Oryctolagus cuniculus: one gene and its partners. The protein of the gene in region 1 purifies or fractionates together with the protein of each later gene. This does not show direct contact. Links are inferred from orthologs where the notes say so. Each region holds a gene or a part of one and is shown in the gene's direction. Other genes may lie near its edges.

Region 1 (4,216 bases):
TGCGGTGCACCAGCCGCAGCGCGCCAGCCATTGGAGAGTGAACCAACAGCAAAGGAAGACCTTTCTCTCTGTCTCTCTCTCTCACTGTCCACTCTGCCTGTCAAAAAAAAAAAAAAATTGCCTCTCGCTGTTGCCCTAGGACTAGCTGTCCTTTCCTCCCCATGGACGTTTGTGAGCTACCTCAGATCCCTCTGCTGCAAGGCGCGCAAGGCGCAGCCTTATTGTGGGCTACAGCGGTTGTCTCGTTGCTAAAGCAGCGCCTCTGAGCTTACACAACAGCCCCGATGAAGCTCCAGGGTGCGGAGCTGGGGAGGGGAAACACTCGACGCCGCAGCTTCCCGGGCTAGCCTCCAGCGCCCTGCTCCTGCAGGTCGTGTTGGTCCCGGAGGCTGCCGGCTCGCGCTCTGGCAACGGGCTCCAAGCCTCCTGCCCTGCCCTGCCTGGAACGCGGGCTCGCTGCCATGAAAGCGCCCAGTGGCCAGTGGCCAGGAGCAGGCATCTCGCTCGGCCTCAGCCACCCTGGACGCGGTCCAGGAGCGGAAGGGCTCTTCCGTTTGCACGCGATACATTATTGATTTCCAAGGCGAGTCGCTCTTGATCTCGACTCTCTCCAAAGAATGAGCAGGGAACGGACGCGAAGGGGGCTTGGCGGGCCGGGCGGGGAGGATGGCCGCGATGTCCACCTGCGAAAGCCGGGTCGGTGAAAGAGGTGGACGTGCACTTCTGGGGGGCGGGAGGGGGGCATCAAGGCAGTTCAACTCAGGGTGCCGGAACAGAGGATGGGGCGGGGGCGACCCCTCCACAGTCAAGGCTTCCAGAGGAGACGGCGGCACCGGGTGCCCGGCGAGGCGGCCGTGTGACAGCCTGGGCTTGGCAGCCGGGTCCGATTCCGGGCACCGTGAAATAAGAGGGCTCTGTCGCCGCGCCAGCGCCGCGGGCTCCCGTCTCCGCGCGACCTTGGGCGCCCCCCGGCCCGAGCGTCCTAGCCCAATCGCGCCATCACCCCCACGCGTCTGACCAAGCCGTCTCTGTGAGGAACTCGGCAGCACGCTAGGCACGCCAGGACGGCCATTACCGCCGCCCAAGACGTGCCAAGCCACCAGGGCCGAACCCGACTCGCAGGCCGCGCAGCGAGCGGGACCCGACCGGCGCAGCCGGGCGCCCAATAAGCCGCCGGGACAGAACTCAGTGGCTTCAAACCAATGGCTTCAGCCCTTGTTGCTGGCCGGGCTTTCTGGCCGTTCCACCAATAGCTTGCAGCCTCGGCTCGGGAGTGGCAGCCCGACCGTCCAATGACGCACCACCAGCCCACACTCAGCACTTCTGAGGGGATAAATCAAGGAGCCGGCACGTATAGATTCCGTTATTAGGCAGTACGGGATGGAGAGAGGACGTTAGAGGAAACGGCGCCGGGGCGAGGCACTCATGAGCTAAAAATAGAAAAACGACGATGGTTGCGCCAAACGAGCTCGGCCGCCATCATGCTCTAGTTTCCCCTTCGCCTCTCTCGGTCCGCAACCGAGGAAGCGGCCTCTGGGATGCTGAGGGGGTGTGTCCCCGCATGATTGGCGCAGGTAGCTCAGCCAATCCTAGCTCGTCAAACGGGAAGCACTTAACCAATGAGGGGCGACGGCAGCGGCGAGGAATTGGAGGGGCGGAACGACAACTTGACGGGCACAAAAGCCAGCCAGTGACAGCCGGAAACATCCTCCCTGCGGCCAATGGGATGGGACTCTGGGCGGGCCCCCGAGTGTTTGTGTTGTGGTTTTGGGGGAGGGAGGCGGAGGGGAAAGTTTGTTTATTTTGTTTTTAGTTTCTGGGGTCCCCGTGCTTCTGGGAGGTGAAGCGGGAGGGAGGGACCCCCGCGCCCCTCAAGTTCCCCTACGACGTCGCCCCCGTAGCCTGCGGAGAAGCGGGGACCGCGCGCATCGCCTCGCCTCACAGCGGAACGCCGCGCACTCGGAGCCGGCGCAGCTCGCCGGTGAGTGAGGACCGGAGCCGCGCCGTCCTTCCCCTCCCCCGCGCGCCGTGCGGCCCGAGCTGGGCGGCCGGGGCGCGCGGCGTGTGCGTGTCCTCGCGAGGGAGCGCGCGGCGCGGCCCGGGGACGGGGGGCGTGAGCGCTCGCGGGGGCGGCCGCGGCGGCCGGGGCTGAGGCGAGGGGCCGGCAGGGCCGCGCGCCCCGGAGCGGCCGGGCGCGCGCGCCTCCCGCGTCACGCGCCGGCAGGTGTGAGGCGGGGAGGGCTTCCGGGCGTGCGGGCCGCGGCGAGGTCGCTTCCCGTCGCTGGGGGGCCCTGGGGAGCGAGGCCCGCGCGTCCCGGCGTCGCGCCGAGAGCCGCGGCCCGCCGGGGTGCGCCGCCTCTGCTGGCGCGGGCCGGGGGAGCCCCGGGGCCCGGGGCGTCGCACCTGCGTGATGCCGGGACGAGCCCCCGGGCCGGACCCCGGCCGGAGCCCCCCGCGCGCCTTCCCGGAGCCCGCGCCCGTGGCCGCTGGGGGCGGGGAGCGTTGGCCGCCTCCCCTTGGCCTGGCGCCCGTTAGTTTGCAGCTGGAGGGGTTTCAGCCCCTGGTGGCCCCCGGAATGCCTGCGGTGCCCGGCGACCCCCAGGACCTCAGTGCGGACCAGCCCGGGCCGGGCCCTAGCCCTGTATCCCGCGTGGCTTCGGGCCGTGAGTGAGCCTCATGGGTGCCCTCCGGCCGTGCACGGGGAAGCGAGGGGAGAGCGGAGCGTTTTGTGAAGACGCCTGTGTTGCGGGAAACTGCAGTGGTGTGAAGTGTTCTGTTGGTGTGGCGAGGCTCCAGCGACGTCGGCTTTGGCTTTGGAACCGTGGCTTTGCGTGGTGTTACTAAAAGCCTCCTAAGGAGCAGAGCTTGGAGCTGGCCTCGCCGTGGGCGTGTGCGCGGGTGCACGTCGAAGGCCCCCCGCGCTTAAAGCCCCAGCACAGCGTCCGGAGCACAAGTCTAAACCAGGCTGGCTTGTCCCACTTGGGACAAGGGACTGATGACAAGGACGCCTTTATTTTCTTTTAGACCTTGAGCTTCTTAGGAACGTTTACTTATTTATTTGAAAGGCAGAGCGACAGAGCAAGAGAGAGCGAGATCTTCATCCACTGGTTACTCCCCAAAGGCCCCCAGTAGCTGGGGCTGGGCCAGGCTGAAGCCAGGAGCCAGACACTGCATACAGGTGTCCCGGGTGGGTGGCGGGGACCTAGGCACTTGAGTCGCCCTCTCATGCCTCCCAGGCTGCAAATTAACAGGACGCTGGATGTGGGGTGCTGCTGTCCCGAGCTGTGGCCTAACCCACTGCCCATAGCACCTGCCCAGTTCTTTACCATTTTAATGAGCTTGTCCCAAGCACCATTATTTTCTGTAGTTTCTGATAGGACTTAAAGAGACATAGAAGTTCCCAAGCTGCTTTTCTTTTCTGAAAATAAACATTTATTTATTTTTATTTGAAAGGCAGAGTGATAGAAGATCTTGCCTCTGCAGGGTCCCTTGCCAAACGGCTGGGGCTGGCCTGAAACCAGGAGCCTGGAACTTCATGTTGAACACGTGCTCACAGGGGGTGCAGGTGTTGCAGGCTGCGGCTTAACCCACCGTGCGGCAATACCAGCCGCCTCTTTATTTATTTATTTATTTATTAAGACATTTATTTACGTGAAAGAGTTACTGAGAGAAAGGAAGAGACAGAGAGATCTACCTGCTGGTTCACTCCCCCAAATGGCTGCAACAACCAGGTCTGGGTCAGGCAGAAACCAGGAACCTGAAGCTCCATCCTGGTTGCCCACCTGGATGAAGGGGCCCAAGTACCTGGGCCATCAGTTGCTGCCTTCTCAGGCACATAGCAGGAAGCTGGATCAGATCTGGAGCACCCAGTTTCAAATGCACACTCTTGGGATCTGCTTTTTATGGAAAAATAAATGTCATGCCCTTGAGAAAAAGGGTTTTTTTTTCTAAGATGGAGGCACTGAAAAATGTTTTTTAAAAGATTTTTTAAAAATTTCTTCATTGGCTGGCACCATGGCTCACTAGGCTAATCTTCCACCTTGCGGCGCCGGCACACCGGGTTCTAGTCCCGGTCGGGGCGCCGGATTCTGTCCCGGTTGCTCCTCTTCCAGGCCAGCTCTCTGCTGTGGCCAGGGAAGGCAGTGGAGGATGGCCCAAGTGCTTGGGCCTTGCACCCCATGGGAGACCAGGATAAGTACCTGCCTCCTGCCTTTGG
Region 2 (3,649 bases), on another chromosome or scaffold:
TCCCATATCAGAGTGCCTGGTTCAAGACTCTGTTACTGTACTTCCTGATACAGCTTCCTGCTAATGCACACCCTGGGAGGTAGCAGATGCTGGCTCAAGTACTCGGGTCCCTGCCACCCACGTGGGAGACCCGGATGTGGTTACAGCTTCCTGGACTTCTGCCTGACCCAGTCCTGGCTGTTGTGGCCATTTAGGGAGTAAACCATGAGATGGAAGATCTCTCTCTCTCTCTCTTTCTTTCTCTCTCCCTCTGTCTTGCTCTGCCTTTCAAGTAAATAAAATAAATAGTAAATTATTTTAAAAATTAATAAATGTTTGTTGAGTAACTAAACTAAATCTTCTGATTAGGAAATTTCATTGTCCCAATTCTAAAAATATCAGACTATAAACAAGAGATATAGTACTATTAGTATTTTTCACTATGAAAATTAGCAAATAAATGGATAAATATAGCTACTATTTATTTTTCTCCTGTTTGTACAACAGATAATAATGCATAATTATAATAATATTAATCTATAATAATAATGGAGAATTAATGGATCACCCCCAACTCTGAGAATGATGGCCCCAAGAATTTGAAGATAGTTTTATTTTTTTAATGCATACAGCCTTGTAAGGCTAGCTTTAGAGCTATTAGTGCTCATGAGAAGTTTTACACTAACCTACAAGTGAAAGGAATTCATCATACTCTCTAATTCTGATGTCTTTATCTTTAAAATAATGGCAACCTGGCAAAATATTTAGAAATATAGAGAACCTTAAGCTGGCAGACATTCTATACTAAATTCATCAATTTATTTAATTTGAGGGGCAGAATGAACTCTCATTGCTGGTTCACTCCCTAAATGTGTGCAATGCTCAAGTCAGGCACTGGCTGAAGCACAGAAGAAAGAACTCAGTCCAGGACTCACATGTAGACGGAAGGTCCCAAGCACTTGAGCCATCACCTGCTGCCTTCTACGAACTGCATTAGCAGAAAACCAGGAATCAGGAGGGGAGCTGAGACTCAAACCCAGACACTCCATATGGAATGTGGGTGTCCCAACCTGATATCCTAACCACTTAATCAGAGCAAGCTCAGTGAATAAAAGATCTGAGTAATTGCAGCTAGCAGCATTGTCGTCATCATCATTATAAATATTATACTTCATGACCAAATAACATAGCAAATGTCTTTTAATCTTTTAGGACCTCCCACCAGCCTATTTCAGCCACCTCGTCGTCCTGGCCTTGGTACTGTTGGAAAACCAATTCGACTGTTAGCCAATCATTTTCAGGTTCAGATTCCTAAAATAGATGTGTATCACTATGATGTGGACATTAAGCCAGAAAAACGGCCTCGCAGAGTCAACAGGTAAGGGTCAGAAAGAACAGGCCTCTGTATATTTGAGTGAGCATGATTTCTATCATATTGTTCTCTAAATTATGTCAACACACAGGCTTTGTTTTTACCCGAGATGGTGAGTTTTTTAATAGCAAGTCTGTGGTCTCGTACTTGGTTATCCTCCTTGGTTATTCCAGTAGAGTGGTGGGTGTATCATTTATTCTGGTACAATTGAGTGTCATATATAACCATAAGTAGCAAATGCCTACTGAATGAAAGAGAAAGGTCACTCTCAGGAACAAAGAGGAACAGAAATGTGTAAGAATAGGTGAGGACATTAGTATCTATGGGACGTAGAACTATCTGGAAATTCAAATTTTATTAAATGTTTACATTGATCATGAGAAGTATGTAAGTGTGAAGACAGAAGAATCATCTTGAAATATTGAAAAAAATTGCTCAGAGGAAAGTTCTACTTATTTCTAGCACTATCCAAGAGGGGTACTGATGAGATGCTATGAATTTTGTTGGCTGTATAGCAAGAATTTGCCAGATGTGAAGACACAGCCCTGTAGTAAATATTCTAGCAGTGTGCACCCACTTTGATTTTCCCCCTTTCCACGCCATGATATTCAAACAGTCTTTGACCTTAACATTCTTGTTCTTGCTAATAAGTAAAATATCATGTGCTGCTTGAAATTTTTTTCATCACAGGTAGTCAAAACATTTTCTATAGCATTTACTCTGGTAACAGGGGCATCAAATACACATGTGATATGACTCAGATTTTTAATAGATTGTTTGGGTCCTAACTTGAAAATGGACCCTAGGGCCGGCGCCGTGGCTCAATAGGCTAATCCTCCGCCTTGCGGCGCCGGCACACCGGGTTCTAGTCCCGGTCGGGGTGCCAGATTCTGTCCCGGTTGTCCCTCTTCCAGGCCAGCTCTCTGCTATGGCCCGGGAGTGCAATGGAGGATGGCCCAAGTGCTTGGGCCCTGCACCCCATGGGAGACCAGGAGAAGCACCTGGCTCCTGGCTCTGGATCAGCACGATGCACCGGCCACAGCATGCTGGCCGCGGTGGCCATTGGAGGGTGAACCAACGGCAAAAGGAAGACCTTTCTCTCTGTCTCTCTTCATTAAGGAGGAAATATTTGATGACTTAAAAGAGAGTTCTTTTAAAATAAATATTATAATAATTTAAAATGTAATTTTATTTATTTGAAGGGCAGAGAGATAGAGCTCTTTCATCTGCTGGTTCACTCCTCAAATGCCTGCAAAATCATGGACCAGGCCAGCCAAAGCCAGGAGCTGAGAACTTAGTCCTGGTCTCCTGTGTGGATGGCAGGGAACCAAGTACTCAAGCCACCACCTGTCTCAGGGTGTACAGTAGCAGGCAGCTGGAATGAGAAGCAGGATTGGGAGTCAAACTCAGGCATTTTGCTATGGATATGCTTGTTCCAAATAGTATCTTTTTTTCTTTCTTTCTTTTTTTTTCTTTTTCTTTTTTCTTTTTTTTTTTTTCTGACAGGCAGAGTAGACAGTGAGAGAGAGAGAGAGAGAGAGAAAGGTCTTCCTTTGCCGTTGGTTCACCCTCCAATGGCCGCCGCGGCCGGTGCGCTGCGGCCGGCGCACTGCGCTGATCCAATGGCAGGAGCCAGGTACTTATCCTGGTCTCCCATGGGGTGCAGGGCTCAAGGACTTGGGCCATCCTCCACTGCACTCCTGGGCCACAGCAGAGAGCTGGCCTGGAAGAGGGGCAACCGGGACTAGAACCCAGTGTGCAGGCGCCGCAAGGCGGAGGATTAGCCTAGTGAGCCGCGGCGCTGGCCCCAAATAGTATCTTAACCCCTGTGTCAAACACCAGTCCCTATTGTCATAATTTTACCATGAGGAAACAAACATGGGAAAGATTAAGAAAGTTGTCCAAGGTCATGCAGTTCTGCTGCTTCATCATTGTGTGACCAGGGGACAGATCCTGGCTCATTCTGAATTTTTCTTTTTTCCTGTAATCTTTCTCCGTTATCTTACAAGGTTATTGTGAAAAGTAAATGAGAATGAAGGCAAAAAATCTCTTTACTGTAAAACTCTTTATAATCATAACCTTTTCTAGTATTAAAATATATAATCTTAAGTAAGCTTTTTTTCAGTTACATGACTTGGTATATAAATAAGTGTGGTGTATAAAGCTTCCCCACAGCTTTCATTTGTAATAATATTAATGAATTAACTAGCGATATATTTTGGCTCTCAAGAGGTAGTCCCCATGTGGAAGTCACTAATGTTGGTAAGACCAATCACCCAACTTCATTGACTCTCACAT
Region 3 (3,649 bases), on another chromosome or scaffold:
TAAACAAGAGTACCCTTTTTTTTGTTTTGTTTTAAAGATTTATTTATTTATTTAAGAGGCAGAGTTATAGACATAGAAATCTTCCATCCACTGGTTCATTCCCCAAATGGCTGCAATGGCTGGGGCTGTGCCAGGCTGGAGCCAGGAGCCAGGAGATTCTTCTGGGTTTCCCATGTGGGCTCAGGGACACAAGTACAGGGGCCATCTTGCACTGCTTTCCCAGGTACATTAGCAGGGAGCTGGATCAGAAGTAAAACAGCCAAGATGGGATATGGTGCCCATATGGGATGCTGGCACTGCAGGCAATGGCTTAATCTTCTACACCATAGTGCCAGCCCCCAAGAGTTCACTTTTTAAAAAAAAAATATTCAATCCATGCATATTTTCTTTCTTGTTTTTAAATTAGAGTTGGGGAGATAACACAGACAGAGCTTCTACTCACTGTTTGATTCCCGTGTATGCCTGCAACAGCCAGGACTGGGCCAGGCCCAAGCCAGAAGCTAGGAACTCAGTCCAGTTCTCCTACACTGGTGTCAGAGATCCATCCAGCCAGTTATCACCTCCTGTTTTCCAGGGTCCACATTAGCAGGAAGTTGAAATCAGGAGACAAAACTAGGAATCTAACTCAGGCTCTCTGGTATGTGCCTTAACTGCTAAGCCAAACACCCCACCCCACAATTCCCACCAAGAGTACAACTTTTGATAAAAGGCTCATGTGTTGCTAATTTATAAGTTTGTGTGTTTTTTTTTTTTTTTTTTTTTTTTAAGATTAGGCATGATTGAGAAGATTATGAACTGTTGTCTTTGTTTTAGGCTTGGCAAGTCTAACTGGTTGCTCCACACATCTGTAATTCAAGACATTTATGCAGTAGCAATCCTTCACATGGCAGTAATAATGTCTGAGTCAATCAGATAGTTTCTTATCTACTAGCTGTATAAACCTATACAAATAATGATTTTAAATGTGTTGTTGATAAGGGGGTAGATATGAGTATAATACACAGTTTAAAGTGTTTTACTGGGAGCTTTTCATTATCAGGAATTTTGAATTATTTCAGTAACATACCTACTCAGAGAAAAATCATGATAACTGTTTTCTTCTGAGATGGTGAAACTGTCCATATGCAATAAAAGGTATAGAGCCTATAAGTCACGTTTGTGTTCAAATCCCAGTTCTTCCGTATATTGCATGTGAGTCCTGAACCTTAGTTTTCCCATACAGATGGGATAATATCTAACTTGCAGGATTGTCATCAGGATTTAAGTGACATGTAAGTAATTAACAAATGGTAACTACTGCTGATCTTGTGGTCAGCATTCTTTGTTTCTAAACATAAAGTGTAGTGTTCTCCAAGGACAATTCTAGTTTTCTTAACTCACTGATGGAAGAGTACCCACCTGTATACAGAGGTATTTTCAGAATATTGCCATTTGTTAAGTTGAAATGATTTTCAAAATGTGTAAAATACTAGCAAACTGTCTGAAGTGTGTAAGAAATGTACTTGAAACCAAACCAACACAGAAAGGTTGCAATTACAAAAGTAGACAAAGATATAACAGGCAGGTATCAATCACCTGCTGCCCTCAGGCGTGCACATTAGCAGGAATCTTGAGTTGAGAGCAGAGCCAGGGCTCCAACCCCGGCCCTTTAGTATGGGATATCACAAGCAGTGTTTTAACTGCTATGCAAAACACCTGTGCCAGTGTATACATTATATTTTTCATATATGTTCTTTACCTTTGTCTTATTTATTTAAACTTTGACCAAACAAATCTAGGTTGGCAGAAGTGGCAATATCCCAGCTGGAACAACAGTTGATACAGACATCACACACCCATATGAGTTTGATTTTTACCTCTGTAGCCATGCTGGAATACAGGTAAGCCTGCCGTGTGGGCGAAATCTTTTAATGCAAAAACTTACGTTCTTATGTGTATTTTTTAAATCTCAGAAGGAGAAGAAAGTATTCTTCAACTCTTCCCTTACCTTCAGATGGGCTATTTTTATGAAAATTAGAATACAGTTAGTGTAACAGAATAAATCTTCCTTAATTTAGCCTAAATCTTTGAAAAAGCTTAAAGTAACTAAGAGTTCCTTTGACTATGCTTCTTGTTGATGATATTATATAGAAAACTTTCATATTTCCTGGTAGATAGTGAGCTTGTGAAAGAGTTTAATTGCAGAATTATAGCTTTCTGTTTCAGTTAAATGATTTTAAGAATCTTTTCTTATTTCCAAAGAATCTTTTCATTAATTTGTTGGTTTTACTTGGTAATTAATTAATTCAGTGTTTCTCAGACTTTGCAGCAATAGGAAGAAACTCATATCCCAAGGGTATCTGAGAGGATATAGCCCAAAACTCTCTTAAGTTATCTGTCATTAAGGTAGAAATTTCAGAAAGATGTACCTTACTTGACAGCTATGTCTTACAGTTTCACATGCCGCACATGCACTAACCCCTTTCAAACTCTTATCTTTAAAATATTATCACACTCTTTCATCTATGTTCTTATATCAGTTTCTCTTCAGAATCAATGTTGTGTGTCTTCAGAGTGAGTGGGAACAATCACAAAAAAAAGTTAATGGCACCTTCTAGGGATAAAGCCTGTATCACTAAAGCACATATTTCTTTTTTTGTTTTTTTTCTATTTTTTATTTATAAGAAGGGAACAAATTTCATATATTTCATATATACAATTCTAAGACATAATGATACTCCCTATGGAGTACATATTTCTCTTTTTTAAAGATTTATTTATTTATTTGAAAGACAGAGTTACAAAGAGGCAGAGGCAGAACGAGAGATCTTCCATCCCGCTTGTTCACTCTCCAAATGGCTGCAATAGCTGGAGCTGGGCCAATCCAAAGCCAGGAGCCAGGAGCTTCTTCCAGGTCTCCTACATGGGTGCAGGGGCCCAAACAATTGGGCCATCTCCCATTGCCCTCCCAGGCCATAGCAGAGAGCTGGATTGGAAGTGGAGCAGCCAGGTCTTAAACCAGCACCTATATGGGATGCTAGCACTACAGGCGGTGGCTTTACCCACTACATCACAGTTGCAGCCCTTGTTAGTTTTTTGTTGTTGTGTGTGTGTGTGTGTTTTTTTTTTTTTAAGATTCATTTATTTATTTGGAAGACAGAGAGTTACAGAGGCAGAGAGAGAGAGAGAGAGAAAGATCTTGCATCTGCTGGTTCACTCCCCAAATGCACACAACAGCTGGAGCTGGGCCAATCTGAAGTCAAGAGCCAGGAGCCAGGAACTTCTTCCGGGTCTCCTACATGGGTGCAGCATACATTTAACCAAAAATCTTAGGGATCAGTTTTCCATTGGAACACTAGTGTCAGATTTCTGCTCTAGTCAGCAAATAATGTGGAATATTTCACAGGGACTAAAGACTGTTGTTTATATGTCTTCTCAGCTTCATTAAGATTTTTTCTTCTTTTTAAATAAGTTTATATATTTGAGAGGCAAATACAGACAGCTCTCATCTGCCTCTTCACTCCCCAAATTTCCACAACAGCTTGTGCTGAGCCAAGCAGAAGCCAGGAGCTGGGAACTCATCTGGGTTTCCCATGTGGGTGGCAGGGTCCCAACTATTTGAGCCATCACTTGCTTCTTCCCAGGGTGTGCATCAGCAGGAAACTGGAAC

Evidence for each region.
Region 2: the proteins of TNRC6B (region 1) and protein argonaute-4 purify together in Homo sapiens (co-immunoprecipitation; 3 studies listed by BioGRID and IntAct, with this or other methods). This does not show direct contact. The link is inferred for Oryctolagus cuniculus from reciprocal best matches to the Homo sapiens genes TNRC6B and AGO4.
Region 3: the proteins of TNRC6B (region 1) and protein argonaute-3 purify together in Homo sapiens (affinity purification with mass spectrometry; 6 studies listed by BioGRID and IntAct, with this or other methods). This does not show direct contact. The link is inferred for Oryctolagus cuniculus from reciprocal best matches to the Homo sapiens genes TNRC6B and AGO3.

The regions. Positions count from the first base shown.
Region 1 is NC_091442.1:116,179,280-116,183,495, forward strand, and holds the start of TNRC6B (trinucleotide repeat-containing gene 6B protein), read left to right. Parts: upstream 1-1,319; 5' UTR 1,320-1,981; intron 1,982-4,216.
Region 2 is NC_091438.1:136,826,925-136,830,573, reverse strand, and holds part of protein argonaute-4, read left to right. Parts: intron 1-1,191; coding exon 1,192-1,357; intron 1,358-3,649.
Region 3 is NC_091438.1:136,589,058-136,592,706, reverse strand, and holds part of protein argonaute-3, read left to right. Parts: intron 1-406; exon of another isoform or gene 407-637; intron 638-1,778; coding exon 1,779-1,880; intron 1,881-3,649.